4 linked regions of the Lonchura striata genome follow. The protein of the gene in region 2 binds, or shares a complex with, the protein of the main gene of each other region. Links are inferred from orthologs where the notes say so. Each region holds a gene or a part of one and is shown on either strand. Other genes may lie near its edges. The genes, in order: STRIP2, STRN, STK26 and STK24.

Region 1 (7,166 bases), on a different chromosome or scaffold from region 2:
CTCAGACAGCAGGAAGGGGGTGGCGCAGCCGGAGCGGTGACAGGAGCCCTTTGTGCGTGGCAGCAGCTGTCACCCAGACGTGGCAGATGCCAGCGCGATGCCACCGGCTCGGTGGCAGCTTTATTTTTAAAGTTTGACGGAGGATGAGGTGGCACAGAGCGGCCTCGGCCCCGGGGCTGCTCCCACGGGCTCAGCTCCACGGCTCCTTCCTGAGCACAGGCTGGGCAGATCCCCAAAATAATCATAATTTTCAGTAGGAGCCCCTGGATCGCTTCCCTTTCCACATTTTTTAGCCAGCGCTGCCTTGAATTTCCACTGTGAAAATGAAATGGCTTTGCACAAATGTGGATCTGCTTGGGAGGGTGAAGCCCAGATCCTTTTCCTGCTGGAAAAGGGATTTTCTTGGCAGGCAGAGAGCACCGGAACACTCCCAGTTTGGGGATTACTGGGTTTTCCCAGATCCTGAGCTTTTTTTTTCCATTGCAAAATCCTGGTGCTTCCCCGTGGCTGTGCAGGGATTCCCTCTGGTTCGGTTCTCTGTGCCCGGTTTTGGTGCCTGGCACTGCCCAGCCTTGCTGGGAGCGAGGTTTGTCCTGGAGAGGTTGGGATCCGAGGGTCTCGGGAATTCCTGCGCTGAGGGGGAGCCACAACCCCTCCAACTTCCATGGGCACCTCGGGGGCGGCGAGGACCGAGTCCCTTCCTCAGCCATTTCTGTCCTTGGCGTCTCCCCCTGCCAAAATCCACCGTGGCGATGCCGGGGCAGCTCCTCATCCCTTCCCCACTTGGCAAAGCCCCGTTTTTCCTTCTTTCCCCAGATACTGAGTTCCTGCCGCCGCATCCCGGAGAACCGCCAGGAGCTGCGACAAGCACCCGAGTCTTTCTCAACTACTGTACAGGATGAAACCGCGCAAGCTTCCCACGCTAGAGCCGGGCTTGCTGCCATAGTCGACAGTGTGTTTTAGGTTATTTATTTATTAAATTAGGATACTGTTCACGTGGCCTCTGCCACTGGTGTTCGTCCTGCCGCGGGACTGGGAGACGCTGGATTTTCTTTCCGTTCCTTTCATTTTCCTCTTTGGGTTCGTTCTTTTTTCGGGGCTGGGAGGAGGGGGAAGGCGAGGAGGAAGCTGCTGGAATCGAGCCGTGGAATAGTCCCTTATCCCTGCTCACCCCCGCGCACGGCGGGACCCGGCCTGGCAGCCAGGGAATCCCCGGCCGTTCGACAACAGAGCCAAACTCCTCGTGGGCTCCGGAGCTGCCTCGGGAGCAGAGAAGCCTCTCCGCCTCTCCGTGTGCTCTGGAAGTGCCCGGAGCCGTGCCCGGCCGGGGAACCTCGCCTTAGCACTGCCCGGAGCCGTGCCCAAGGGTCAGCGCCGGCCCGGGGAGATCCCCGAGCGCTCCCCTGGCCGCAGCCCCGCGGCGTTTTCCTGCTGCTGTCGTTCCGAGTGCCAACCTCTCTGGATCAACCAAAGTCGTGTTCCCGGCGGGGCCGGGGCAGCCCCGCGCTGCTGGAAGGGGCTCCTCGCCCACCGATGCTGCTCACGCGCCGGCGGCTCCGCCACGCCGAGCAGAGCTCGCCCGGCCGCCCGGCTGGGAGGACCCACGTCCTTCTCCAGCTGAATTTCGGAGTTTTGTTTTCTGCTCACATTTGTACGAATCTGGAATTCCCCTTTGGAATGTATGAGACGCCCGCCGGAGCGACCCCCGCGGATTCCGTGCGAGGGGAGAGTTCAGCATTGCTGAAACCCTTTGGTCACCTCAGCATCGCTGAAACCCTTTGGTCACCTCGACGTGTCAGAGCCGATGGAGACTAAATTTGCCAGAGTTCCCTGTTTTATCCCAGGATGTCCCAGCTGAGCACAGGACAGCGTGACCCGTAGCAAGGTGACTCCCCAAGTGCCGGTGTCCGCGCGGAGTCACTCCTGTCCCTCGTGGAGAACGTGATCCTGCTGAAATAAAACTGCCCAGCCCCCTGAGCACAGAAGCCTCTGTCCTCCCTCTTGGCTCCGGAGTCTCTCCTCGGCTGCAGATCCGTGTTTTGTCCTCCTGGGCTTCTTTGCTATCATGGAGAACTTTTTTGTGGCAGCTCGTTCACGCACAAGGAAGGGAAAACGGAGGAATTGCATCCTCACGTCCTTCCCACGGCTCTTAGGAGATTTGGAGTCAGGTTGGCCACAAGTCGCTCCTCTCCAGAGCAAACGCTCCCATGTGCCGGCTTATTCCAAGCTTCTCTTTGAAATCTCTCAAAATCAGGAAGGAAAACCTTGAGAAGAGCTTGAGGAAACCTTGAAGAGGGCCTTGGGAAGGCGTCAGGGCTTTGCCAAGGCCTTGTGGAGACCTTCAGGCTTCGAGAAGCTTCCGGGAGACTGATTGCTAACCACAGACTCGCTCTCTGCTCGTTCATTTTTCCCCGATCCCGAGATGTTCTGGGAAGAATCCCCTGAGCTCTTTGAAACATCACACCCAAGGCTTTCTCCCCAAGCTGGATCCTGGTCTGTCAGCCCCTGCTGTTTTCTGGGAGCTGCTCCTGGCCCAGGGGAGATGCAGCTGTGGGAAGAACGGGAATCCCATCCCAACCCAAGCACAGCCACTTCCCCCTGGAAAAGCCCCTTTCATCCTGACCCCTCTCATCCCCAGAGCTGCCTCCCGCCCTGTGCCTGCTCTGCACAGCCCCAGATCCCTCCGTGCCCTGTTCTAACCTCCTTTTATCTTCCAGGTAGATAGGAAGGAAAAAAATATATATATATTAATACTAAAATCCCAACTGGCTTTTCCCACCTCGATTTTTAAAGCTCTTCTCCATGTTCTGCTTCTCCTGTAAAAGCTTATTGGCTCGCTTGGCTTTTTTCCTAATCAACCTGGAATCATATCCTATGATCATCTCTAAATTAAACGTGTAATGGGGTTTGGTTTCTTTTTTTTTTAAATGTAACACATTTTTCAAGACTTAGGAAAAAAGGAGATTTTAGGTAACACCAGCAAAATCGCATAAAGGAAATTAATTCTGTTCTGAACTTTAGAGATAATAAGACAAAAGTCGTCCTCAGCAGTGAGGAAACGAAAACGTCGCAACCATAACATTTCAGAAGGATGTTTTAAATATTAATGTCTGAGTGATTGTATTAGATCAGCAATAAAGACTCTGTAATCTCAAAACACAAATAAAACATTGGAAAACTCAGCCTCTCCTGAGCGTCCTTGGGGTCAGGCGGGGGCAGACCGGGATTTTGGGGCGGAGGGGGACAAGGAGGATCAGGAATGCTGGTGGGATGGGAGGGGTTGTCCCCAGAGCCTTGAGCTCCTGCTGTTTCCAGATGATTCCAGCTGGGGAAGCGGCTCCGGGGCCGCGTCCTTGGGGCAGCCGGAGCTGTCTGAGCTCCTGGGCTGCTGTGTCCTTGGGAAGCGGTGGGGAGGATCCCGGTGCCGTTATCTCCTCTGGAACAATCCCGTTATCTGCTCTGCTCCCGCCCTGCCTCGCTGCAGCCACGGGAAATTCCGACCCGACCCTTGGCGTTTCCAGCTCTCCAGAGGCTCTGAAGGGATGTGGGACATGAGGGGCACCGAGATCGGCCACTCGGTACCTCCCCGGCCACAAACCTGCACAGTCACCCCAAAACCAGCCGGCCCCATTACTGGCTGTGGGAATGGAAATCCTGCTCCAGGGCCCCGGGAGCTGCCTGGCACCGAAACGGGGACGGCGGGGCTCGGACGCCTTGGGGTGCCTTGGGTGCAGCCCCACAGGTGCCCCCCGGCCCATCCATGGCCACCCCCTCGTTACCCCACGGGCACCTCTGACACCCCGGCTCCCGCCCTGCTGCCCCCTGCGCTCCAGGGACACCCCACAACGCCCCCATGGCAGCATTCTGGACTCCAAGGACACCCTACAAATCCTCCTTCCATCCTCCCAGCAGTGCAGGGACACCCTACGAATCCCTTCCCCAGCATCCCCCGTTCCCGACCCCTCCAGCCCAGCCCCGGTCCCGGGATCTCCCCGGGATCATCCCGGCCCCTCCGCCGCTACCCCGGGCCCCGCCCCGTCCCGCTCCGGACCAATGGCGAGGCGGGGGAGCGCCCTGAGGCCACGCCCCCGCTCCCGGCGGACCAATAGGCGTGGCGGGGCGTGGCCCGGCCCGGCCCCCACGTGCTGGCGGCGGCCGCGGGATGGAGGCGGCGGGAGGCGGCGGAGCCCCGGGCCCGGCCCGGGCCCGCCCGGGACAGCCCCAGCCCCAGCCCCAGCCCCAGCCACAACCACAGCCACAACCCCAGCCACAGCCCAAGGGCCGGGAGCTCTTCAGGAGCCAGCGCAAGGAGTCCGAGGTAAGAGCGCGGAGCTCGCTGCCGGCACCCCCCGGGCTCCGCCGGGACCTGCTGTGCCGTAAGGGATTCCCTGCTCCGGGGCTGGGGTTCCTGCGGAAGGAGCCTCATCCAGGAGTGGGGGTGCTCCCGGTCTTGGGGGTGCTCCCCGGCCCCAACTGGACGCTTTAGGGGTCCTGCGGGGGTGGCTTTAGCGTCCTGCGGTGCCCAGCCCGCAGCGGGAGTCCCCAGGGGCGCTCCGCGGCACTGCCACCTCCCCGCTCCACGCCCAGACGCAGCTGCAGAGTTTTGGGGTGCTGGCTCAGCCCCAGCACCGGCACCTCCCAGCCCCACGCCCAGAGGCGGCAGAAAGGTTTTGGGGACCCACCTGGGCACTGGGCTCCCCCACACTCTGCAGGTTCCCCTTTGCCCCTCACCGAGGTGCGGGTGCCGCTGTCCCCTCCTGCCCCAATAACTCCGGGGCGCGGGGGAACCACCAAACCCCGCTGGGCTGCTCTGCCCCAGCTGCGCCCGAGCGGCTTCGTGAGTGCCAGGCTGGGGAAGCAGGACCGGGATCGCCTCACCGGGATCCCACTGGGATCTGATGTCCCCGGCCACCGTAAAGCCACCTCTGGAGCCCCCTAACCCCAAAAGGGTCCCTGGGAACGGTGTCCAAGTCGTGCTCTCAACTCGTGAATTTGGGGTTTGCTTTGCTCCCCCGGCTCGGTCTCTCAACGCGGATTAGGGCTGCACGCGCTTCGCCGAATTCCTCGCCAGCTTTAACCGCCCGAGCCTCCCCGCCGGCTGGGCTGCAGAAATTGGGTGAGAAAACAGCGTTTCTGAGCAAGAAGTGCTCATCCCGGAGCCGCGCATCCTCCTAGTCTTCAATATTAATCGCCACGATGCGCATCAGTTGCAGCCCGGCTGCCGAGGAGAGCTGCTGAGACTCGGAATGGGGAATTATGTTAATTTTCGTTGATTACCCATTCATGTGTTCCCTTACCCGGGGCAGGGCGGCGCGGTGCCGGCCTTGGGTCGTCTGGCTGCGGCTGCCTGCTCGCTGCCCCGCCGGAATCCTCCGGCCAAGTTTCATGCTCCAGTTCCTCATCCGCAGGGGAGGAGGGGGAGATCAGGAAGGCAAAGCCCGGCCCCGAGAGCTGTCAGATCTGCGGCGCTGAGGACGGAGCTCAGGGATCCGCAGCATCCTCCCGCGGGCTTTTGCTTTGAACCGGCCCCGGGGTTTGTTTTTAGGGCGTGCAGGGTTCTGAGACGCATCAGATATTCAGCGGCGTTTTTGTGTGGTGCCTCTGCTTTCCGTGCGATTTGAGAAATGCTGTTTTTACACACGGCTTCCACATTTCCGCCGTGTTTTAAGCGGCCGCGCACGGACTCCCCGCTCCAGCCCGGGAGATCCATCACTGCGAGCCGCTGCTCCGGCGGCTGGAGCGGCTTTGGCGCAAAGGCTGCGAGCGCTGGCAGCCATCCCGCATCCCAAAATATCCCCAGCGACGTGCCAGCCCCCTCCTAACCCCATCCCGCTCTCCGCAGGGCTCCGTGGATTGTCCCAACCTGGAATTTGAGTACGGGGACGCCGACAGCCACGGCGCTGAGCTGGCAGGTGAGGCAGGTTTTGGGGTGCTGCGTTGTGATTTCCAGGCGCCCGGCGGGCAGGGAAAATGAAAATCCCGCCGGGATGGGGGATGGATGTTGAGCGGTGCCGTCCCTGCGGTAACGGAGCAAGTGGGGTTTATTATGAGAGAGCCGCTCGCTCCCTGGGGACGCGGAAGGGACGCGGGGGTTATCCCCATCACCCCGGGCACAGCGCCGGGGCTGGCAGGAGGGCGGAGTGTCCGGGGACAGCGGGAGGTGTCACCCTTCATCGGGCGGCTCTGTCCTTGTCCCCTGTGCTCCTGCTGTGTGGCGGCTCCAGCTGCTTCTGCTCCGTAGCCCCCGGTCCCGAGCGCGTTCCGGAGAAAATGGGGTTATATTTAGCTCCGTGTATCTCCGCCGCATGAGCTGGCCTGGCAAAAACACATTTCCTCTGCAAGGGATCCTTCCTCCTTCCCTGCAGGATCGCTTCAGCCCTCCGTGGTGCTGCTCAGCACCTCAGGAGTGTAGGGATTCTCTGGGAACGGGTAGGAATCCTATAGGAACAAGTAGGAATTCTATGGGAACAGGCAGGAATTTCAAAGAGCAGGTGCAACATCGTGTCCCTCCAAGTCCAGCCCTTATTTGCAAGACCCAAAATGTCTGAGCTGCTGGGTGGGGGATCAGTGCAGGTCCTGCCTGGGTGTTCCTGCATTCCCTTCATTCCCAAACTCTTAAGTGAGACTTAAAAACCCCAATGAAATTGCAAATGCAGCTGGAGCGGGAGCTGGGAACAGCCCCGCCAGGACACGGGGACGAGTTTGGTGGCTTTGGGTGGCCACAAGGTGCCCTTGGAGCTGCAGGAGAGCTCAGAGACCAGTTGTGATCTCTGTCCCGTGTCCGCCGGGGTGCACAGGAATTTGGCAAGGAATTTGGGAATGAGGAGGAGGGTGAATCCCCTCCATGTCCCTGCTGATCCCCTGTCTCCACCAGAGCTGTACAGCTACACCGAGGAGCCTGAGCTGAGCCACAACAGGAGATGCTTCGAGGAGGATTTTCACACTCAAGGTACCAGCTCTGGGCTCAGCACCCCTTGCCTGGGGCAAGAACGGGACCCCCAGGGCAGCCCCCGGCTGGAGGCCGTGTCCCTTTTCCAGTGCCGGACAGGAGGTGGCTGGAGCTGGACAGGGCTCAGCAGAAGGCCTACGTCATGCGCCTGCTGGATGGGCTGGAGGTGGTCAACAGGGACAAGAGGCTCAGAGTGGCACGGGCCATCCTGTACCTG
Region 2 (7,503 bases):
CTATAATGAAAAATAATTAATACTCTGGTAATCTAAAACAATTTAGATAAATGAGTTACCATTAATTTTTAAATTCTTTGGACTTAAAATGTACAATTACCAGGTTACACATTTCAAAGGTATACTTAAATTCTTACTAGATACAAAAAATTGCCTTGTTGCTTAAGTTTCGCTGCCTTTTTTGTTCTCAAGGTCAACCCTCTTGATCCCTTTGCCATTTTGGGCTGTGGCCTTACTAGGTCATGCTAGCTGAAGTATAGCTGCCCTGCTGGTTTTTGAGTTAGGATCTCCCAGACCAGTCCAGCATAAATAACTGCAGATAACTGTCCCTGACTTTTTTGTGAACACTTGCATTCTGGTATCAGTTCACTTATGCTCGCTGGGGAGGTGAATACTCAAATTCAATTGAATAACATTTCTGTCTGCCTGAAAAGTGTTTTGAAATCCTTTAATATGATAGGTACTCTACATCTTAAAATCTTTCATCAGTGATCTGCAATTGGATGGTGCAAAAGCATCTCAAAATAAGCATCAGGATCAATATAATTGTAATGAACAATAATAGAAATCTTAAATCCAGTCCTGGTAAGACAGAGTAGAGTGATCAAAGCACAGGAAGCCATCTACATTTCATTTGTTTTAATTTGATAATTTTTTTGATTACAGTTTCTAATGTCAGTTCTGAAAACAATATTACCCTTCCTTATCTGTGTAATAACTAATAATTTTTTTTTTGTTTCATTCTCTGATATGGTAATTACATTTTTTCTTTCATTTTTAGGAGTACAGTTGCTTGCCCTTCTCGTTCCCACTCTGATCTCCTATTTACTGAATGAAAATGCCTTTGCTTCTGCATCTACAGCATCTAAGGATCTTCACGAGTTTGCACTTCAGAATCTAATGCACATTGGTCCACTTTATCCACATGCTTTCAAGACAGTAATGGGAGCTGCTCCTGAATTGAAAACACGTCTAGAAACTGCAGTCCGAGCAAGCCAGGCCAGCAAAGCAAAAGCAGCTGCTAGGCAACCAGCACCCACAGTACATTCCACCCCGACAATTAAACTGAAAACTAGCTTTTTTTGAATTACTTTTATTAATTTTGGACCATTAAGTAGTCAGAAGCATTGCATTATCCCTACATACATGTCTAATTTTGTGTAATTTGTATGTGAAAGACTGTCTGATGGAGCTTTGTGTAATTATTTGAAATCCATGCATTACAAGGGAAGTAGTGTTACTTGTATTTGTATAGATTTTTAGGAAATTGTGATCATATTTATGAATTTCTGTTATAAATTATTCACCAAAAATTATTATGTATCTAAATAGTTTTATTTCTTTTTAAAAGCTATCTCAAACCCTTGAGTGGTTTTTGAATTCTGGTGATTGTTATCCTGCCATTGTCCCAACACACTAGCACAGTGGGGATGGAGAGAAGAGGAAAAACTGTTATGAAGTACTTACCCTCTACCATGGGGAATTTCTAGTGTAGAAGTATGAATTTTTTCCTTTTATTAAAAAAAAATAATACTGAAGGGGACTTCGTAGATTGTTTCAGCTTGCATGAAAAAATACCCAAAATCCCACAACAAAATAATTGAAAATTTTCAGCCTTTCTTAAGGTGAATGATCAAGCATGCTGTCTTAATGAGTTGTCGTTATTTATGTGGTGTATATCTCTTTCCAATCCTTTCCCATGCTTGAAAATGAATAAAGGATGCAAAGAATCTAATCCCCTATCTCTTTGAATGTAAAGAATGCACTGGAAATTGAGTTTATAAAGAGAACTGCCTTCTATCTGCATTTGTAGGTATAGATCTTGGCCTTCATAATGTGCTCTGTGTTTGCAGTCTTCCAGTTCTGCCAGCGACTGGTTGGATATGTGATCAGTCAGTGCTCTGCCCTTTGTTCAGACTCAGGTATTTAGCCTTCCTGCTAGATCATACCCGCAGTCCTTGGTCAAGTTGGAAAGCAGAGGTACTGGAGGACATTGCACTGTACTGACTCAGGGGGCAGAATACAAGCGAGGGCCAGGCTCCTCCAGTTTTTCCTTTCCCTACCAGGCATTTTTCAAAAGCATGTGGCTCCCCTCACCTCTGAGTCTCATGTGCAGATTTTGGGGCTTAGGGCTCAAGTGTTGTGCTGACCTTGCATCACAGCCAGGGAATCCCAGTGTGTGTCTGCTGCCAGGCCTCACCCTTCCTATTGGCAGAAGTACAGAACTATGTATTTTCTTGTGTATATAGGACTGACTTACATGGATTTTTTGACACAGCTGTTAAATTTATGGGCTTTTATAGGCATCTTTCCATACATTTTGCTTTATAGAGAGAAGTAAGTAACATAACCAAGGCCTGCTGAATTTCAACTCTGATGTTTCTCTGTATACTCTGTAAAAACTGCATATTTCAGATGCTTCAACTGAAAATATAACAAAGGGATAGTAAATAGAATTGAATATGACTAATATCTGCTTAAAATATTTGTAGATCACTATTTTTGCATACATACTTGCCTCTATGCTTTCTATTTTCCTTTAAGACCTTATCTAATATCCCTTTGAGTATCTATGCAAAATGGTCAAGACAGTGCTCTTGCCCTATGGTAAATTGGCTGTGTGCAAATATTTAACATAAAATCAGAAATGCTTTTATTTCACAGTGAATGTTTTAGTACTAAAGTGAGGACACGCATACTCTAATTTCAATTTTTTTTCATTTGAAAGTATTAAGGAAACTTCCAGTTCAAAATTCAACACAAACATTTTGCAAGTAAAACAGAAAACAAGTTTATAACCTGTTTTAGATTCCCTCCCCTCCACCAGGTAGTCTAGGAATTAATGACTTCTTAGAAAGATTTTGTCTATAATCGTGTATAGTTTTGTTTACATTAAGTTTTCTCTCAGCACTTTTAAGTTTTGGTTAGCCTCTAGTTGATCAGATATCTGAAAACTCAGAAGAGGGGAGAGAAGTGTAGCAATCAAGCATAACTAAGAAGTCAGTAGAACTATAGAAAAAAGTTAGCAGAAGAGAAAATTACACTAGATAGATGTAGAGGAATAGAGAAGGGAGAGGTTTTTCTTTGAATTTTGTGTGGCACAAAAAAACATGCACAACTCTTGTTTGTATACATCCTTCCCCAGTTTAGTCCTCGTTTGCTTCTCTGCTTGCTCCTGATACTAAAGTTATAGTCATGTGGTTTTACAAAATATTTTGGCATCCAATTCCATTTGATTAAAAAAACTCAAGTAACTCGCAATGGCCGTAGTGCTTATTGTTGTTTGTCACTCTCCTTTTCATATTTTTCTTTGTCAATAGCCTTTTAAATGTGCTTTTTAATGAAACCGTTTGCTCCGCTTCCCCTTCACATCTTTCATCTCTCTGCTGTTTACCTTTTTTCTGGGTCAGCCTTGTTCTGCACGGGTTCCTTGCCGAGGTCCCCCAGATCACACTCCCTGTCCCGAGTTTTCGCTCCCGTTCCCCGCTGCTCTCCGTATGCTCTAAGTAAGCTTCCTTAGTGGTCTTTCCCAGAGAGATGTTACGCCAGCCACAGCTCAAGCTCCGCGGGTAGGATTATTTACGAAGCAGGCGGCTGTGGTTTCGGAGCAGTCACAAAGAACCGGGCACCGCTGCCCGAGAAGGCGGCGGGGCGCTCCCGGTGCGCCGGAGCACGGCCAAGGGCGCAAGCAGGGCGCGTTCCCGGCGCCCTCGGGAGCCCCACGGCACCGCCTTGGTGGCACGCAGCATGTCTTTCACGGTGCTGGCCTTCGGCACGGCCCGATGGAGAGGCGCCTGCGTCTGCCCTCAGCAAGGCTCTGCTGCTCGGGCGTACATGGCGCGGAAAGGGAGCCCAGCTTCGTCCCTTAGTGCCATGGGGAGAGGGCAGTGCGGCCGACACCTTCCGCCCTCAATCCCATACGCTCCTGTTTTCCCTGTCCTCGCAGAACAGGCAGCGTGTCCATTCCTGAAAAATGTTGTGTCGCTCTCCTTCCCAAGGTCGGAAACGATGTTCAAGAAACCCCTGTAGCCTTGGGCAGGCTTTCCAGCTTTTGACAGTAAGAGGCCGAGCGCTGCTCGGAACAGGGACGAAGCAGAAGAGACGGAGCTGCCAGGGCAGGGCCTGGCGGGAGCATCTGCGAGATGCGGGAACTGCTGCGAGACACCTGCCCTTCCCGCGTTACCGGGCTGGGCTGCGGGACAACCCAAGCGTTTCAGTCCCGCTCGGAGGTGGAGGTGCCATTAACCTGTACTCCCACCGTAGGGACTACCCCCGCCCAGCCGATCGGACCGCACGTCCCGGCGCTGAAGCTCAGCCGTCCGATCGCCATCCCTGGGATTACGGACGTCGCGGGAAGAGGGCGGCGAGCCTCCCCGCCATCCAGCGGAACTACAATTCCCAGGAAGCCGCGCGAGGCGGTGGGGCGAATCGCTCCCCGGCTCTGTCCCCGACGGGCCACCGTAGCAGCGGGCGGGGGCGGCTGTCAGGCGGTGACGGCGGGTGGGACGCGCCCAGGTTGTTGCTGCTGCTGCTGCCGGGACGCGGCGGGAGCGGCGGCGGCGAGCCAGGCGGACCCGGCCCGGCCATGGACGAGCAAGCGGGGCCCGGCGTCTTCTTCAGCAACAATAACAATAACAACGCCCTCCTGCTGCCGCCGCCGGCGGGCGGACCGGGGCTGGAGCCGGGCGAGGCGGCGGCAGCGGCGGCCGCGGCGGCGGCGGCAGGAGGAGGCGGCGGAGGAGGGGGAGTCTCAGCCTCCGGAGCCGCCGCGCCGCTCTCGGCGTCCCGGGCTCAATACAGCGTGCCGGGCATCCTGCATTTCCTGCAGCACGAGTGGGGCCGCTTCGAGGCGGAGCGCGCCGAGTGGGAGGCGGAGCGGGCGGAGCTGCAGGTAACACTTGCGACCTTCTGCTCCCCCACAGCCCGGCCCCGGCGGCCGCTCCCCCTCCGTGTCCCTCGTCTCTGCGTAGCTGGAGGGGGAGCGGCCGCCCTGGGCGCTGCCACAGCTTGTCGTCTTCCCCGAGAGGGAGCGGCCGGCCGGGCTATTTCGCTGCCCCGAGGGCGGCCGCCCCCCGCCGCGGCCGGGCGCGGGTGGGACGTGGCGGCGGCCCGGCGGGGAGCGGGCCCAGCCCGGCGGCGAGCGGCCCCTGCGGCTGTGCCCCTCTCACCTCCTCCACTGAGTTTTCCGGATGCCCCTCGGGGTCGGCCGCCCCAGCGTGTCGCCAGTTTCAGAAGCCCTGCTGAAATCTGCCCCCGGCAAGCTGCGCGCCCCCGTTGTGCCGCGGCTTCGCCGCTTGTGCCGCGGTTGCCCTCGGTGTCGCCCCACCCGCACGGGGGCCGGGCCCGTGGGACCGGCTGGGTCCCCTTCGGTACTATGGGGCACGTTTTCGTTTGAAAAGCGATGGGGCTGATATGCTCATTAATGCATGAAAGGACTGATAGTGATCTTGTGGTTGAAGTACTTGTGAACTGCTGGCCTAGAGCCGTCGCTCTCAGATACTCAGATACCAATAACAGTCGATAATGCAGCCTTCGTTCCTCTTTGGTGTTGTTTACAAGAAAATCCCTGTGTTAAACGTTAACGCTGGCCATGTTTCTAGCAACCCACTGTTAGGTTTTAGTTTGGCCATGTTTGAGACGGAAAAGTGTCTACGGGTTTCTTTTTTAGATCTCTTTTCTTTGTCTTTTTCTTCCTATCCATCTGTTCTTTCTATGGCTTTCCTTGAAAGTACAGTCTTTGTCAAGAGAGTCTTGAGTCTGTTTACTAATGCAAACCACTTCTCTATTTTTTTGGTTATTGGGTTGATTTTTCCATCTTTTAAATTTTACTTTCTACAGTAACATCAAACAACCACTCTGAGAAGAGTGGTAGGTGTGGCATTCTTTAATGAGAGTTCCCTTGTAGGAATTTAAAATAAGTGGTCATGAGAACAAGAAAGTAATTTTTATTTTAACTTCCATGATTCAGTGAGAAATTGGTTAGTAACTGAATCATATTTCTATTCACTACATCCAGTAAATACTGTGTAGAAAGTTACTAGCTTAGCTATGTATAGGAATAACCTCATGTGTCGTATATCTGGTGGAGGCCCATAAATATCTTGACATATATTCATAGCTGATTCAGATATCAAATATTGCTTTGGAGAAAAAAAATCTGTTTTACAGACCTAGGAAATTTTGTCAGTATATTAAAAGTAATAACACTCTGCATATTTATCGTGTTCTTCATCAGCATGACATCCCTCCTTCTCCCCCAGGTATCCCTCAAAATTTTGGTGTTACAGATGAGAGAGGAGGAAAGAAATTGAGTATTTAGACTATTAGCAGAAGTCATGTATTATCAGTGGCAGATAACCCCATCACAAGTTGTTTGCTTGAGTGCCTTTGACTCTTGCCAAAACATCTCAATAAAGTTATAATTAGCTGTGGCTGGCATTGCCATGAGCTGTAACAGCATTTATCTGCTGCAGAGTCATGTTCAGGAAGGTGCAAAATTCTTGGCTATCTCTACAGACATCAGGCGTTAACGTCTGCTGTGACCATTTGCAGATGAATGTACTTGGATCCATGTGAGAGGTTTGTGGTATGGGTTCAGCAACTACAGGGTGGCTTTTAGAAATTTTACACCTGAAGCATGAGCAGTGTTAATTAAAGACCTGGTCTGTGCTCCTTCTGAAGCCTTCTGTTGGCCTGTATATTTGGAAATGTTTAACAGAATAATGGAAATTTGAGGTTGGATGGTTTCTCTCTCCCAAGATAAAGAAGCAGTACTCCTCATTGTACTTTTATCCAGTGCAAATTCCAGTGCTAGATTATCCATCCACTCTTGGGAGCCTGTGGAGCAAACGACCTATTTAGTATGGTGGTCTTGGTATCCTGTAATTTTTTTCCTTCAATTCATCTGTTTCTAAGAGGTAGACTTCTTTTATCTCTGGTTCCTTACCAGCCATGATACTGAAATACTTGGGATACATTATTACTTACTACCTTATTACAGTGTTACTGTGCTTGGCTTCTGCTCTGTAGTTGCTGGTTAGTTCCACTCTAGCCTCTCTCCAAAAAACTCCTCATAAGTCAGTCCCATTGTGATTTCCATGTTTCCTTTTCTTCCTCTCTGGGCTTCTTTTTATTTTCTCTTTTCCTTATCCTTCTAATTAACTGCATGGAACTAAATGTGATGGTCAGGTAGAATACCTTCCTGTTGTGTTCTGTGGTACTTGTTCAGGAGACACACACACAAGCTCATAATATATGTGAGTTAGCAGGCCAGGCAGTTTAATCTGTTCTTAGTTATTGGTCTAGTACTGCATTTCCAAGGTTTTTTTCCCTATCAGTGCCTGTATTTTTATTCCCCTGGCAAATATTCATGCTTATTCTGATTTTCTAATTATTTTTCTTGAACCTTTTGAAATTATTGTTGCCTCTTATATAATCTTCCTTATTCAAGGCAAAAGAGGACTTCAGTATTTATATCTATGTAAGCATAATTAGTAAGCTGTG
Region 3 (7,216 bases), on a different chromosome or scaffold from region 2:
GACAAGATGTGTTCTGGGCATGGGAATGAAGGTGGTAAGCAGAAGTGAATGTACAATGGTCTGGGTTCTAGTCCAGCTTCAAGGCTCTGTAATTTTAAATTATTTATTGGATACAGAGATGTCGAAGTTGTAATAAGGGATTGACAAGGACTACGTTTGTCTCCCTTGAGTTAGTGAGTATCAGCAGCTTCTAGTGCTGGAAATTCTGAAGATCCTAAATAAGTTGCCTTGAAGACAAAGTGATTTACCTAATGCCCATGAATCAGAGACTGATTTATGTCAATGGATTGAGAAATTATGTTCTTAAAAAAACATTTTAATTCTTCCTTTGACATCACTGATGTTCTCATTAATAAAATAAATATGTGGCTCTTTTTCCCCCCTAATTCCAGTCAACTTTTAGCTTGCACAACATCTTTGGCAAGGTGTTTCAGACTCAAAAACATGAAAGGCATTTGAAGTTACTGGTTTGGGATGCTGTATGCCACTTCTATAGGAAACCCTTTAGCTGTGCTGTTTCTTTTGAGAGACAGGTGCCAGGCAGGAGAATTGTGGGTGCCTCTAAATGCATTGCATGGGATTGGCACCACAAGCCCAGGTCAGTGCAACACCAGCCAGCTGAACTTTGCAAAGGCACTGAAGGGTTTGCAACACCCATATCCATCCTGATACATAGAAACTGGGCATCATATTTTTAGACAGATGTGTGAGTTTGCATCAGCTCTGCTAGAACCAGATCAGACACCTGTTCCCTCCCTCCCCCCAGTATACCACTGTAAGGAGTCCTTGGAGTTTGTAAAATACAGTATTTTTATGTTTGACACTCTATTTTTGTTTTATTCATTTATGTTTGAAAGTTTAAGAGACATTTCTACCACTTTTTGTGGTAGGTCTAAAGCAACTAACATGGTGCAGGCACTCTCCAAAAGCTGCATGGTTTTGATAGCTCCCTGAAGTCTTCTGATGTAAAAATAATTATATTTTCACACCAGCAAACAAAAATAGTAGTTAAAAAACATGAAACAGTTGAAGGTCTGACTTGGGTCACATTACTACTGTGAGGCCCTGGGAGCTGTCCTAAGTGAATTATAGACACATTTTAAGTCTTGGAAAACAGCAGCACCAAGTATTTAAAGGGCAGGCTGGTAGGGAGAAGGAAAGGTCTTTCATAGAGCAATATCAGCAACTGACCACCTGTCTTTCTTAATGCACAAACTAGAATTTGCTAATTACAGAGGGGAATACAATATTACAGCCCTTTTCTTAGATGTTATGGTGCCAGTCTACCTCACTTCACAGCCTGGCTCAATGATTCAGTCATTGCATGACCAGCTGATTACCTAAGATTCCCTGACAGGTTTTCCTTCCTGGCTCAGCTCACCATGTCATTCCTGGGCTTTCCGACCTGACTTTTCACAGGATGTTTTTCTTTGTGTTTTTGTCACTGCAGTTCCTTAGTCAACCTGCCATGCACAGAAGACAGCTATAGATGTACTTTCTGGGGAGAATACCTTATCACATGATTCACAGTTGTCCTGCAAGACCAGAACTAGAACTCTCTTAAATAAATCTACTACAGTCCCTTTCATGTTATATTAATCTGCATGCAAGTCAGAAATACATAAAAGGCCAAAAGTCACAGTATGTGGCCCCAAAATAGGAAGAATGGATTGGCAATTAGTAGTCTCTGGTACAAAGTAAACAGGGAGAAAATATGTATAGCATCAAGACAAGGCTGAGATAAACAATTAGCAGGAATCTGGAGAGAAAAATCAAGGTAATATATGGATAGAAAGAGAAAAGCAAAGCCTCAGAACCAGAAGAGGAGCAGCAGGTCTGCAATGCAGTAGCAGCATGAAATAAAAATCATCCTATTTCATTTGTCAGGATTTTTTCAGGGCTTATATTCTAAAGATTATTAAAAGCTAGCAGGAGAAGTGATTTAAGTATATTTGAGCAGAATGAATCAGGCCAGGATTCAAAAGTACCATGAGTGAATATTCATTCATTTATTTGCTGAACCACTGTACATAATTAAAGATTTTTGTCAGTAGAAATCCCCATTTCTTTCCAGAAGTTTATTAATGGAAAACATTTTTGAATTTAATTATATGGTATCAACTTTCAGAAAATACTTACCTTAAACATTCCGCACATTAAAATGGACTCCAGGTAGGCTCATAAGTAACTTAGATGTATAACTAAAACACAGAAGCCTTTTTAAGTCATGCTATTTTTTAAAAAGGTGCAGAAGAAAGTAAACACTTTAGTAACAGTAAAGGCTTAACAAACTGGCAAGTTGAAAAAAAAGTATTCCACCACGATCCACAAGCCCGTCTTTGACAAACATTACTGTTTGTTTTTTGGTTCAAACCACAGTGAGTTAAGGATGGAAAGACTGCCTAACTTTGAAATTCTTGTCTTCAGCTTGTTTTCACACAACCTTACCTTAAACAGAGGTGTTTTGTGTTCCTTGCCCAGTGCAACATTCCTCTAAGTCCTAAGAGAGGGAGACTGCCTGCTGTCACATCCTTTCTGAAGGGACCCACCCTCTCAGCAGGATAGCTGTGGTATGGCCAGCAACCCAACACCTCCAGATTACCTTACTTTTTCTTGGCTTTTAGATCTAGAAACCTGTGAATTTGAGGGAAGCCTTCGCATACCCATGAGGATATTTGTGATGGATCCATGATTTCTGTACTCTTGGTCAATGGGCTTCTGGGGAAGACTAGTGCCATAAAAGATGTCAGTTTGAGATTTGCTTTAGTAACCGGCAAAATTTACATGTATAGGAACATGAATCACACACACTAATGTGTGACTCATGCATGAATGGGGAAAAAAGTCACTTCAAAAATACTGTTATTTTCCCCTCTCTAGGCCCTGGTAGAATGTTGGGGCAGCCCAACTCACCAGGAAAGCAGGTGGTGGTGGTGAAGGACACAGGTATGTGTTGGGACAGCCCTGCAGCAGCTGGTGCAGAGTGGGGAGAGCTGCCCAAGGAGGGGGGAACACCCCCAGGGGAGCCAAGAAAGAGCCAACCACCCTGAACTGGGAGCTGAACCTCCAAAGACCAACTGGACCTGCCCTCACCACCTCTGCCACAGCTGGCTGTCAGGAGCACCCCTGAGACAAGAAGACATCACCACTTTTGTCACAAAAGCAAGTAAACCCCATCAAATATTCCCTCAGTTATTTGTACCCGGTTACTACCCTGTGTCTCCGGGGTGCAGGAGCCAGCGGCACAGGGGTGTTGGGGACAGTGGGGCCAAGGAGCAGCGCTGTGACTGTGCAGGAGGGACCCCATGACAGCACCCAAGGGGTCAGCATTGCTGCTGGAGAGGCTGCACCTTAGTGCTGCGTCCAGTTCTGCGTTCAGGAGGGACACTGAGGTGCTGGACTGGGTCCAGAGAAGGGCAGTAGAAATGGGTGAAGCACCTGGAGCACGGGTGTGATGAGAGCTCTCGAGGGAGCTGGGGGTGTTTGGCCTGGAGGAAAGGACGCTCAGGGAGGACCTTGCTGCTCGGTGCAGCTCCTGACAGGAGGCTGGAGCCAGGTGGGGGTCGGGCTCTTCCCCGGGGAACCAGCCACAGGACAAGGGGATGAGATCTTCACTGTGCCAGGGGAGGCCTAGGTTGGACATCAGAAAGAATTTATTCACAGAAAGGGTGATTAGGCTTTGGAACGGGCTGCCCGTGGAGGCGGTGGAGTCACCGTTCCTGGAGGTGTTTAAGCAAAGACTGAGCGTGGCACTCGGTGCCCTTGTCTGGTTGGCAAAGTGGTGTTTGCCATCGGTTGGACTCGATGACCTCAGAAATCTTTTCCAAGCTATACGCTGGTCACTCTGTGACAGCCGGGCGGCCGCGACCCGGGCCGTGCTGAGGCCGAGGGGAGCCGCGGCCCCTCCCTCGGCCGTGCCCCGGCCCCGGCCCCGGCCCGCCCGGGGAGGCGGGCGCCGTGACGCCAGGGCCGTGCGGCGGCTCCGCCCCGCGAGGCCGGAGCCGAGACGGAAGCAGCCGCCGCACAGCAGCCGCCGCCTGCAGCCGGAGCCCGACATGGCGCTCTGAGCCAGCCCCGGCCGCGCCGAGAGCCGCCACCCCGGGGGGCCCCGAGCAGCCGCCCCCGCGCCGGGACCGGGGAGCGGGGCATGGGCAGGGCCGCTGCGGGGAGCCCGGCGGGCAGGGGACAGCGGCGCTAGCGACCCCCGCCCGCCCTTCGCGCAGCGCAGCCCCGCGGCCGCGAGGTGAGGAGCCGGCGGCGGGCGGGGGCCGGCGGGCAGGGCGGGGAGGGAAGGAGGGAGCGCGGCCCGCGCTGAAGCCGCCGCCTCCCCGCCGCTTTGTCCTTCCAGGCCCCGCCGCCGCCGCCCAGGAGAAGGAGGCCGAGATCGGGGAGCAGCGGGCGGCGCCCGCCCGGCCGCCGCAGCCCGCCATGGCCCACTCGCCCGTGGCGGTGCAAGTGCCCGGCATGCAGGTGAGCTCCGCACCGGGCCCAAAATGGAGGCGGCGGGCCCGGCCCGGCTCCGGAAGCGGCGCTTGCGGCCCGCACCGGGCGGAGCCGCCGCCGGGGCGCGGGGGGCCGCGGGTGGGCGAAGCGCCGCGGGGAGGCCGCGTTCGGGCCGGGGCAGGCCGGGCCGCCGCCTCGCCGGGGCAGCGAGCGAGGCAGGGAGGGAAGCAGGGGCTGCTCCGAGGCAACGGGAGGCTTCGGGGGCCGCGTACCTGCACCCCGGCGGAGGAGAAGGGATCCCCCTCCCTCCATGCCTCCCTTTGTTCAGGGGTGGCCGCGCCGCATCCAGGAGCACGTAAGAGCCTCTAAAACTGATTAAAGGCGAAGTGAAGTTAATCGCAGGGTGTGTGGGTGCGCTGTAAATGACATAGCAGGCGCGCTGGCAGGCGGACCTGCAGCAGGACTTCCCCACCATCCTGGCGCTGGGCCTGTAGAGCAGCTTCCCGGAGGACCTTGGGATTCACGGAGAGGTGGTATCCGCCAGGTCTGGTGGGGACAGAGCACCGGCGAACGCAGTCTGTCAGAAACCTGCACCTCTCCTCGCCTGGGAATCAGGCCTGGTGTCACTTTTCTATGTTTGTGTTACCTGCTTAGGAAACAAACAAGTTGGTGTGTTACTGACTTTCATAGGAAAGGTGGAATACCTCTGACTCTTCATTCTTACTCCACTGGACAATCTGATACAAATTTAGCCAGATATCTTTATCAATGTAAAGATTAGCTAATTTCAGTGCTGATTTTTTTTCTTGTCAGGTACTGGCAGCCCAGTCAGTGTTTTTGAGCATTCTCTTAACTTCTAGGATAGTCATACCTGTATAACATCGGAGGTTTTTTTCAGTTCAAATACAGAAACATTTATGATACATTTCTGTGTACGTGAGAGATACAGTAAAGAGTTCAGGAGGCTTCAGAACAGAAATATATCTTTTGGTCAGGTAACTTTATGACTTCTACAAAGTGTAGAATTGATATATAAACAGTATTTACATATTTATAAGTATAAGCCTGTTACAATGCTATGGTTTAGTTTACCTTTCTATTTTCTAATAATTTCTAGGCTTTCTGAAATCTGTTAAATTGTGGTAATTCACTGACTTTCTGTTTCTATAAGAGATCACAAGCCACATCTGCTCAGCCTAGTTGTTCCATTGTGTCAGAATAACTGTTGCATTAGAACATCTTAAAGAAATTTTGTTATAAAAGATTTAAAGGCTTTAGTCTGAGCTTCTTTAATTACAGCCTCTGGGCTTTCTAGTGTGTTTGTATTTGGGAAACTTCTGTTTCAACATTCTAGTTTGTCAATTTCCTATTTTTATATCTGCTTAATGTATTGCTGTTCTATTTTCTGTAACTGCCAACACAAAAGGACCTTGAAATTATTTAAGGTTCTGTTTTTTTCATTGTTACACCAATAAACTTTATCCTAGTAGCATCCTTATCCCCACTAGTATTGTTAGTAGTTTAACTCACAGCCCTTAACATATATGAGTATGTTAAAAACATTTTTTAAACTATTAGATAAATCCAGATGCATAGAATTAAAACACACTTTTTCCCTTGGTGGCCATCTTTTTATGAACGTGATTACACAAGTCCTGAAACCCTCAGAATACAAAAAAATAGAATTTGGTGTGATATTAATCTGCTCATCCTTCTAGAAGAGTCCTAATACAGAGGGTTTTCATTTTTAAAAAACCCTAACCCAAACACAAAAACTTCATGACAGTCTGAGATGGAGGAGTTTCCTTTGGGGTTTTTTAACCTATCTGGACTATTCAGGCAGGATCATCTAAGTAATGGTAAAAGCGTGCCTGCTTCTGCTCAGTGTTAAAGTAGGTGGGTGGTGATTGATTAAAGAAGGAATAAACAGGTTCCTCTGTGATGCAAGATGTAATGGTTATGTTAAAACTACCACTGTGGAATAGTCACAGTGATATTGTCAGAGAATGTCACAAGTTTGAAGTTTTCAGCTTTACTGTCATCTTATGCTTTCCCTTACATTTGATTATACAAAAAAAAAATCAAGAAAAACACAAAAACAAACATGTTATGTAATTTCCATACTCCAAAACCAGACCTTAAGACATTTTATTACCAAAGTATATCAGATGCTTTTTTGACTCTTTTAAGATTTTTCACCTTATGAAGAGTCGGGTCCCCTTTAAAAAAACTCAAACATGGAAAATTACAGAAAATCACAGAGAGTTATTTTGGTGGACTTGCAGTTTGACTTTAGTCCCCTGACAGCAATTGCAGACCCAAAGGTGGTATTATCTGTTGCCCTTATGAGTAGTTACAGAGCCATTTGTTTATGTAGTGGTTGCATTCTGTTTAACCTGTCTTGTGTCCCTAACAAAACCAAATTTTATACCTAACAATTCTTGCTTCTGCAGACAACTTCCTAAACACATTCATTTTCCTTGCTCCTTTGGAAAGGCTCCCCTTGGTGCAATTGTACAGAGTTAACTTAGCCAGCTGCCTAACTTCTAAGCCCATTCAGTAAAATCCAGGTACTCAGTGTATGTATAACATGAGTGGTCTGAAGCTGAACATGATACCACAAATTATGGCATTTTATGCAGAATCCAAGATGAGATGGAAAATGGAAAGGATAATGAGCACAGTTAAGGTGTCCTGGTTACAGGAAGCACAGTTTGCAGTGAGCTTGATTGTCAGGTTTGAGGTTTTATTCAGTAATGTCACAGTAACTTTG
Region 4 (7,578 bases), on a different chromosome or scaffold from region 2:
GTGGCATTCACCACCTCTCTGGGCAACCTGTTCCAGTGTTTCATCACCCTCCTTGTAAAAAACTTCTTCCTTCTATCTAATCTAAATTGACTCTATTTTAGTTTAAAACCATTAAAGGTCATGCTTAATGGATCCATTTAGTGCAGAGAGTTTGCTAGTCTGCTGTCTACACAGACATTAACCTGAGATAAGAACTGATGTCTCCATTATAAAATGTGAAATGTGAGAAGAAGATATAGAAGGTATGTTTTCTTCCATTTGCATATGTTTGGTTTGTGTGACAAGGGGCTAAGAAAAAGGCTTATAAAAAGCAAGATATAATGCAATGATGCTCTTCAGGGGCAGAGGCATAGGACAGTAAAATCAATCTCATGTTTCTTAATGAGCTCTAGGTCTCCATCTAATTTTAATTGTCTGCCTGGAATAAGAAAATACTTTCAGGCACTTATATTCTGCTCATTATTAATAAACAGCATATAATACTCAAGATGTTTCTTCCATTTCCTGCCCCATTCTGGCTTATCCACTATGATCCTCAGTACTATAAGAAAGTGAATTTTCTTCTATTACAAATCTCAAAAACCTGCCGTTTTCTATGCATGATAAGAATAACATCACTGCAGGAAGGGAAATATATACAAAATGGCACGTTTTATACAAGCATAGGAAAAAAAAAAGGCTTTTTCTTTGGGGAATGTAATTTAATAACCAAATTTTTTCACCTTCAGCATTCACAAGACTTAGAGTAGAATGCCATTGTGGATTTCCAGCTCTACTTCTGTAATTGACAAAACCTTTTTCTGACAAGTGGCTTGTTGAACCAGAACATAAATGCACAGCCAAATCTATCTGTAGAAGGCAAGCTGTGTGCTTTTGAAACTACACAAGCTTCCTCTGCTGGAAGAAATACACAGCTGCATGGCATCTTGAGAGGAAGAAAGGCTACATCACAAACTTTGTAGAAGGGACACCCTTTCACATGGAAACTGAAAACTGAAATTTTAAAATTTTGGTGGAAACAGAGAAAACACCAATGATTTGTAGGTGTATCATTGCTGCATAGTTTGGAAGTACACTAGAAACTAATCTTGTGGTGCATATACTGCCAAAGGCAGGGAAAATATCAGTCCTGGGCAACACAGGGATATTTTTTGTTATTTATAGAAAATGTGCTTTTTATCACTAAAGATATATATTTTTTAAATAAAATTGCATCCTACCCTTGTCTGGTTCCTTGGCTCTTTCCTGGGAGAGTAGTTGCTGTTTGAGCAGAAAGGAAAGCTTAAAGTTGCTGTTTGATCTCCCAGAAAGGAAAGCTTAAAGGACTTGGTATTGATCTGAAAAGAGAAGCCATAGTCAAGATGACTCAGTGTGCAGAAATGAACATTACTTATACCTTTGGAGTTTAATTCACTGATTTAGATATTGCATATTTATAAAGTTTTCCCAGAAAGCTGCTTTTCTGTAGGGTGACATTGAGGATATTTACAGCACTCATATTCTGACATTCTTCTACTCTGCTGAACCCCCATCTGCTGGCATGTCACTCAGCAGTCACGCACTCTGAGATTGGGCTTTGTTTTAGTTTCCCCCTCATGATGATTGGCAATATGAAACTGTCAATTTTCTTTAGTCTCTTTCCTAGCTCAGTCATGGATATGCTGAGCAAGATGGGTCCCATCTTGGTCCTGCGACAGCCTACTGGTAACACCCCCCACTGTGAAAGGTTTTTGTCTTTTTCTTTCCTCTCCAACCTCAGTTAGAGACCCATGTGAGGACTTTCCCTCTTGCCCCAAGAACACTTAAATTCTTAAAGGTCCATTTGTGAAGATCCTTGTTAAAGCTGCTGTGAATTGTGTGATACAGGCAAGAGTCACACTTATTATTATAAATCAAAAAAGAGCTGGGTACCTGGTGTACCTTTCATCTTAGAAAACACCAATGACCTTACATTGTTCATTTGAGAAGTTTCAGTGTTTGTCAGTAAGGAAAACATTTTTTCTTCACACATATTTATAAGCAGAATTTCACAGTCACAGTCTTTACAATTATGTAATATTTTTCTTTTGTAACTCTTATCTTACTGTTAGAGATGGAAATGTTACAATTTATGGCTTAAACATAACCAGCAAGGCAGAAAATCTCTGCATATGCAAAGTATTATGCTAAATTGAAAGCAAACCAGTTATTGAGAAGTTGATATGTAAAATAAATTGAATTTTTGAATGCTTGGAACGTCTGGCTTCAAAAAGATACATCAGAGATCTGTCTTAATGATAAGAAGTGTTTATTTCCGAAGTCTCAGTCATTGTATTGGGATGGTTGGCTAGCATAACATATAATCATTCTATTTAACAAATAATTCTTCAAGACTAGCCTTTCTTTGGACTATAATACACTTTTTTTTTTCTCAGAAAAGATTAAAAAACCCACAAAAGGTTGAGAAAACAAGAGGAAAATTTGAAAGGCTTCTGTTATTAAGTCTGTGAGATGGAGCTGAAATTTAGACAGAAAGACTAGCATTTACAAAATGAACAGCAAACACACACATTCATTATTTTAAAATTACATTCAAAACAATTATTTAAAAGTTTCTACAAGTTCTGGGAGAAATTGGAAGTGTATCATAACATGAGTTACAGTATAAAATTTAGAAGCTGACAAGATATTAGACCTTCTAATGCATTGTTCTGACTTCATTAGAACTTGGACTAGTATCTGGTTTGTGACTGAAGAGTTTTGAATCTGCTCCTTTGTTTTCCTGCATTTGGCAAGTAAATCTGCCCACAGAGTTTATTCCAAAGCCCAAACAATATTTTTTTCAGGCACAGAATCTTGTTGAACATATCATGCATAACTTCAAAACCTTGAGATTAAATAAATCCACGATGGTACACAAACAACAGGAAGACCTCACAGTGGCCCCAGGCCAGGAGCTTACACGGTGGAAGTCACTTCAGAGCAGCGTGGGAAATTTTCGGTCCTTATGCGCCTTGAGCTAGAGAATCTACCAAGTCAAGTATTTTCCTTGGGAAAATTAATTATGTCCCAAAGAATATACTCATGGACAGAAAATAACAGTTGTATACCTTTCATAATACAAAAGAGAAATTTTTATTTTGATTCCACACTGAATGTGCAACTGCAGAAAAAGTAAAGCAACTAATAAAATCCATAATGGCCATATAGGAAAAAAACCCAACAAAATAAAACTGCATAAACAATAGTAAAACTGACATTTTCTCAATTAGGATTTTTAATATTACGTGATGTAGCAGAATTTCAATGATATTCATGAGACAAAGGAAAAGGTTCACTTGTAGCCTACTGACTTTTTCCCTAGCAAGTTAGAAAAACTTACTGCAAACAGTGGAGCAATTAAACATTTTTTTTTTTTTAAGAACATTGCAAAAATGCTTTAGAAAACAATCAAAATAGAGAGTTTTGATACTGATTCTCATAACTGTTATTTGATTTTTGATTGAAATAGAACACAAATGAAAACACTTTACATTTCTTTGAAAATTACATACCAAGCCAAACCCCACAGAATCTCCATTCTATCCCAGCATTAAAGAAAATTTCAACTCCTTCATGAACAACTGAAAAAATAATTTCAATATTTCAATTTTCAGTTTCTAGCCATCATCCCTTTTTGTTTCACTGTACTCAAGGGCTGATATATTTAGTTTACCAGTTTACTTAGTTTATTTTCTCAGGTAAAACACCAATGTGCTTGTGTGTGGGTACACTTATCTACCTGCATAAGGCTGTTGGCTAATTTTATTTGAATAATACTTTGACATAGACATCTTAGGAATATTTATGTATCTCCAAGTTTTAGGAAAACCAGATTGGGCATTAACTCAGCCACATAAGAAAACAAAGATTATCCAAACTATAGGAAAAACTTGAGTGGAAGTTCCAACCAAATTTTCAATAAGACCATTTTCTATTTTCAAATGTTTCCTGCAGTTAAGAGATTTGTACAGACTCTAGTGAATTATCAAGTGAAAAGCAACTTATGCTGCAGTGGATGCTGACATCATTTAACAAAATCACTTGGAAAGACAGCGAGCCTCGTTATCCCATGGATGCCAGACCTACCGGCTGACAGGTTTCAAAAACTTTTAACACTCATGAAGCTCCCTACGTTTTTTTGCCGGGGCGGAAAAATGAGAGAATTTTAGGACATTCCATGGCACACGGGAAGCTGTGCGACTGCGCTGTTAAATTCCAGTTGTAACAAAGAATAGAACATTGTCGAGTTCTCGAGGGATTTGCATGTACGCAGAACTCCTGTGTGGGAGAGACCTCAGTGCTGACCCACTGTGCTCCCGCTTGGGAACTACAGGAGAAGCACGACTGGCATTTTGGGTTGCGGCTTCTGACAGGAAGCCAAGCGCTTCCTTCTGCGGAGCACCGGGGTTGCGGTGCGTTCCCCGGCCGTGGCACCGGCACCGGCACCGGGACCGGGACCGCGACCGAGCCCGGCCCCGGCCGCGGGGCCCCGGCCGCGCCCATGGCGGCCCGCGGGCAGGTACCGCGCACGGCAGGCGGGGCCGCCGCTGCCGCTCCGCCCCCTCCTCCTCCTTCGCCTCCTCCTCCCGCCTCAGGTTTGTCATCGTGTCGCCGGCACGGCCCGGAGGAGGAGGAGGAAGAAGAGGAGGAGGGATGAGGAAGCCGCTGCCGCCTTTGCATCCGTGACGGGGCCTGGAGAGCCCGGGCTTGGGACGGCCCCTTTCCCACCGCCGGCGCACAGGCGCTGCTCGCCCGGGGGAAGGGCCAGGAGGAGGAGGAGGAGGGCGGCGGTGCTGTGTGAGAGGGAGCGTGGAGATGAGCTCAGCTCTGTGCCCTGGAGCCGCCTGAGGAGACTCGGCTGCCTCCCGGCCTCCCTCGCCGCCGCCATGGCTCACTCCCCCGTGCAGGCGGGGCTGCCGGGGATGCAGGTGAGCAGCTGCCCCAAGGGCGGGCACGGACGCGCACCTCGGGCCGGGCTGGGTGCAAAGAGGGGCATTCCCGGCGCTGGGGGGACAGGAGAAAGCGGCTCTTGACCCTGGCCCGGCCGGGCTGGGGGCGGACGAGCGGGATGGAGACGAACCGTGCTGTCAGCGCTTGGCGTGGCGCCCAGCGAGGTCCCTCCGCCCGGTGGATCCCTGCCTGCCTCTCTCCCTCCATCCGCCCTCGGCAGCCGCTCTGTCCCCGCAGCGGGCGGAGCGCGGCGTGCCGTGTGGCCCCCTCCCCGGCCGGCAGTTCTCCGTGTTTTAATCCCTGAAGCCAGCCACGGCTCAGTGGGCGATTTTCGGCCCCGTTAGTTTGGGGTGCGTGGGGGAAGCATGCATAAGCCAGTCGGTACAAGCAGGGCCTGGCAATGTTGACCTTCAGCGCATGCTGCAGTGCCCGTGTCTGTGGTGCTGCTCTGAGGTGGGTGCTCGGGGATCGGGTTTGGCTCCTGTGTTTGATTCCGAGAGTTCGTCAGCTGCTGTTGTTACACGGTGGAATTTGCTCGTTCTGTGTCTTAACTATGTATTTGAAATAACTAGTGTGGTTTTGTGCTGACTGAGCTGGCTTAGTCTGAGCTCGATTTTCTTGATTTAAATGGCAACTGCTGCCAGGAAAACATTAAGGTCAGTGGTATCTGTGTGTTGCTATACTAATATTCCCCACATCCGATTAGAAACTTTCTTGCCCTTATCTTCAAAGGGACAACTTATGAATGACATGTAAGAGTTTCTCTTAAATTTGTCTCCTGGATTAAAAGTGTTTGTGCATCACTTGGTTAAATATGGATTTACCATAGTTTGTTTTATTGTGAGTCAGGATTCTAAGTCATTAATTTCTTTTCTTTCCAAAATCTGAAGATTTGAATTGAAAATATTACATGCTTAGGCATAGCATGAATTATGTGCTCATACATAGTAGTGGATGCCCTGTAGCCTACGTAGGCCCACCCTCTGAGCTAAGTAATCTATTGCTGTGTAGGTCCTGCTGTTGAGAGTTCCAGTTCACCTTTCAAATATGAGCAGTTTGCCGATTGCCAGAGACAAAGAAATGGTTTCTTGATTGACTATGGATATTGTTTGGGCTTTTTAAAAATTCCCTTGAGACATATTAGACTAAAACAACTGCCTGCTTTGAGACAGAACCTATAACACTTTAGCATTTAAAAATCAGATTTGTAGCTGCTTGTAAGTGAGAGAACGAAGATTATTCCATCAGTATGCATGTACTGATGATGTATGCCACTGCATGATCTGAGGACTTGTGCTTTTTATTGGCTTGGTTTATTATTTGGTTTGTAGTACTGTTAGCTCTCCTGAATGTGTGGCTCTTCAGGGTTCTTGTTAGTCCACATAATTTGGGACTTTGCTTCAAATAATTTTATTCAAAATGGTGTTCTTTTTCTCATGATTTTTATTCTGTTACTGTTTGAGTTGCTCAAGTGTAAACTTTCATAGTCTAAAGAAAACCCCCAGAACACCAAACCAGAGATCTGCCGATAGGTAGAGGCATAAATTCTGTGAGCAATGTGAATGCTGCTCACTAATTTTCTGTGCCCAGTTCAAGATGTCTGTATCCATTTCCATTCTGTCAGAATATATAGCAGTTTTATAGTGGTCTGTTCTCAGTACACAATTCTCTTTGATTTCACTTCCAAATAAATGTTCAAAGAGTAAAGTACATACCATGTGTGACAGCTGCTTAGATGAGAAAAAGATTTGGGACTTTTTTGTTGTGTAGAAGAGAGGAATATAGCTTAGTTCTCTGGGTTATAATTAAATTGCCTAAATCACGGGACCATCTCTTCTTTTTCTGTAGTGTGATCCCTCCTCCCCACCTACCAGCTTCTGCCACAAACGGTGGAAGCAGTGTCAGTGACAAGTTATGCAGCTTTCTCTGACATTCTTTGCTGTACTCACACAAGAGAGCAGCCATTGTGCTTGTGTGAGCAGGGTAACTTCTTAACCCCAAAAAATCACTTGGAGGGACATCACTTTTATTAACGCTGTTTGGCCTGAGCATGGTAGTGTCAGTAGAGTAGAGGAATGAATGATTAATATATTTCCACCTAAGCAAGATGTCTGATCCATGTTTGAAGAGTGATGCATAAAAAGTGAGTGGGTAGAAAGTGAGCCAAAGGAATGAGAAACTGTGGAGGAAATGTAGGATGGTGTTGGAAGGTTGTCAAAACCTGAGATTTGCTGTCTGCTGCACAATGGGCATGCTGTAACCTGAATTGAAATAGAGTTGGGTTTTGACCTAAATTTCTGTCTGTGCAGTTTAAGTTCAGACTTGAAGTTTCTGTTGTTGTTGTTTTAAGGGCTCTGTGTAGATACGAGTTTGAGTGTGCAGGGTGAAGATCCATCATGACTAAACTGAGGATGTGCTGTCTTGCTTCTTCATGCCTCATGAAGTGGCCTGAGGAGAGTGTGTGTTTGCCTGTAAACGTGTGAGATTCCTGCAAGACTGGCTCAGAGTAAGTGTATACGACCTTGATTTTCAGACTGGCTTGCATTTCAAGGCTGTGGCAAGCTTATGGAGCTTCTTTAAGGAAGCTGTATTTTAAATCAAGTACTT

What was found.
Region 1: STRN (region 2) and STRIP2 share a complex: the UniProt entries of both Homo sapiens proteins name them as parts of the core of STRIPAK complex. The link is inferred for Lonchura striata from reciprocal best matches to the Homo sapiens genes STRN and STRIP2.
Region 3: STRN (region 2) and STK26 share a complex: the UniProt entries of both Homo sapiens proteins name them as parts of the core of STRIPAK complex. The link is inferred for Lonchura striata from reciprocal best matches to the Homo sapiens genes STRN and STK26.
Region 4: STRN (region 2) and STK24 share a complex: the UniProt entries of both Homo sapiens proteins name them as parts of the core of STRIPAK complex. The link is inferred for Lonchura striata from reciprocal best matches to the Homo sapiens genes STRN and STK24.

Annotation. Positions count from the first base shown.
Region 1 is NC_134607.1:72,230,583-72,237,748, reverse strand, and holds the start of STRIP2 (striatin-interacting protein 2), read left to right. Parts: upstream 1-4,162; coding exon 4,163-4,318; intron 4,319-5,842; coding exon 5,843-5,912; intron 5,913-6,874; coding exon 6,875-6,949; intron 6,950-7,038; coding exon 7,039-7,166. Other genes in the region: AHCYL2 (adenosylhomocysteinase 3), read left to right, coding at 817-823. UniProt on the Homo sapiens protein: Plays a role in the regulation of cell morphology and cytoskeletal organization. Required in the control of cell shape. Calmodulin-binding scaffolding protein which is the center of the striatin-interacting phosphatase and kinase (STRIPAK) complexes.
Region 2 is NC_134605.1:33,757,794-33,765,296, forward strand, and holds the start of STRN (striatin), read left to right. Parts: upstream 1-4,492; 5' UTR 4,493-4,585; coding exon 4,586-4,891; intron 4,892-7,503. Other genes in the region: HEATR5B (HEAT repeat-containing protein 5B), read left to right, coding at 782-1,086. UniProt on the Homo sapiens protein: Calmodulin-binding scaffolding protein which is the center of the striatin-interacting phosphatase and kinase (STRIPAK) complexes.
Region 3 is NC_134616.1:7,630,367-7,637,582, reverse strand, and holds the start of STK26 (serine/threonine-protein kinase 26), read left to right. Parts: upstream 1-4,199; 5' UTR 4,200-4,243; intron 4,244-4,348; 5' UTR 4,349-4,428; coding exon 4,429-4,470; intron 4,471-7,216. UniProt on the Homo sapiens protein: Serine/threonine-protein kinase that acts as a mediator of cell growth. Modulates apoptosis. In association with STK24 negatively regulates Golgi reorientation in polarized cell migration upon RHO activation.
Region 4 is NC_134604.1:77,899,007-77,906,584, reverse strand, and holds the start of STK24 (serine/threonine-protein kinase 24), read left to right. Parts: upstream 1-4,578; 5' UTR 4,579-4,907; coding exon 4,908-4,949; intron 4,950-5,202; exon of another isoform or gene 5,203-5,388; coding exon of another isoform or gene 5,389-5,424; intron 5,425-7,578. UniProt on the Homo sapiens protein: Serine/threonine-protein kinase that acts on both serine and threonine residues and promotes apoptosis in response to stress stimuli and caspase activation.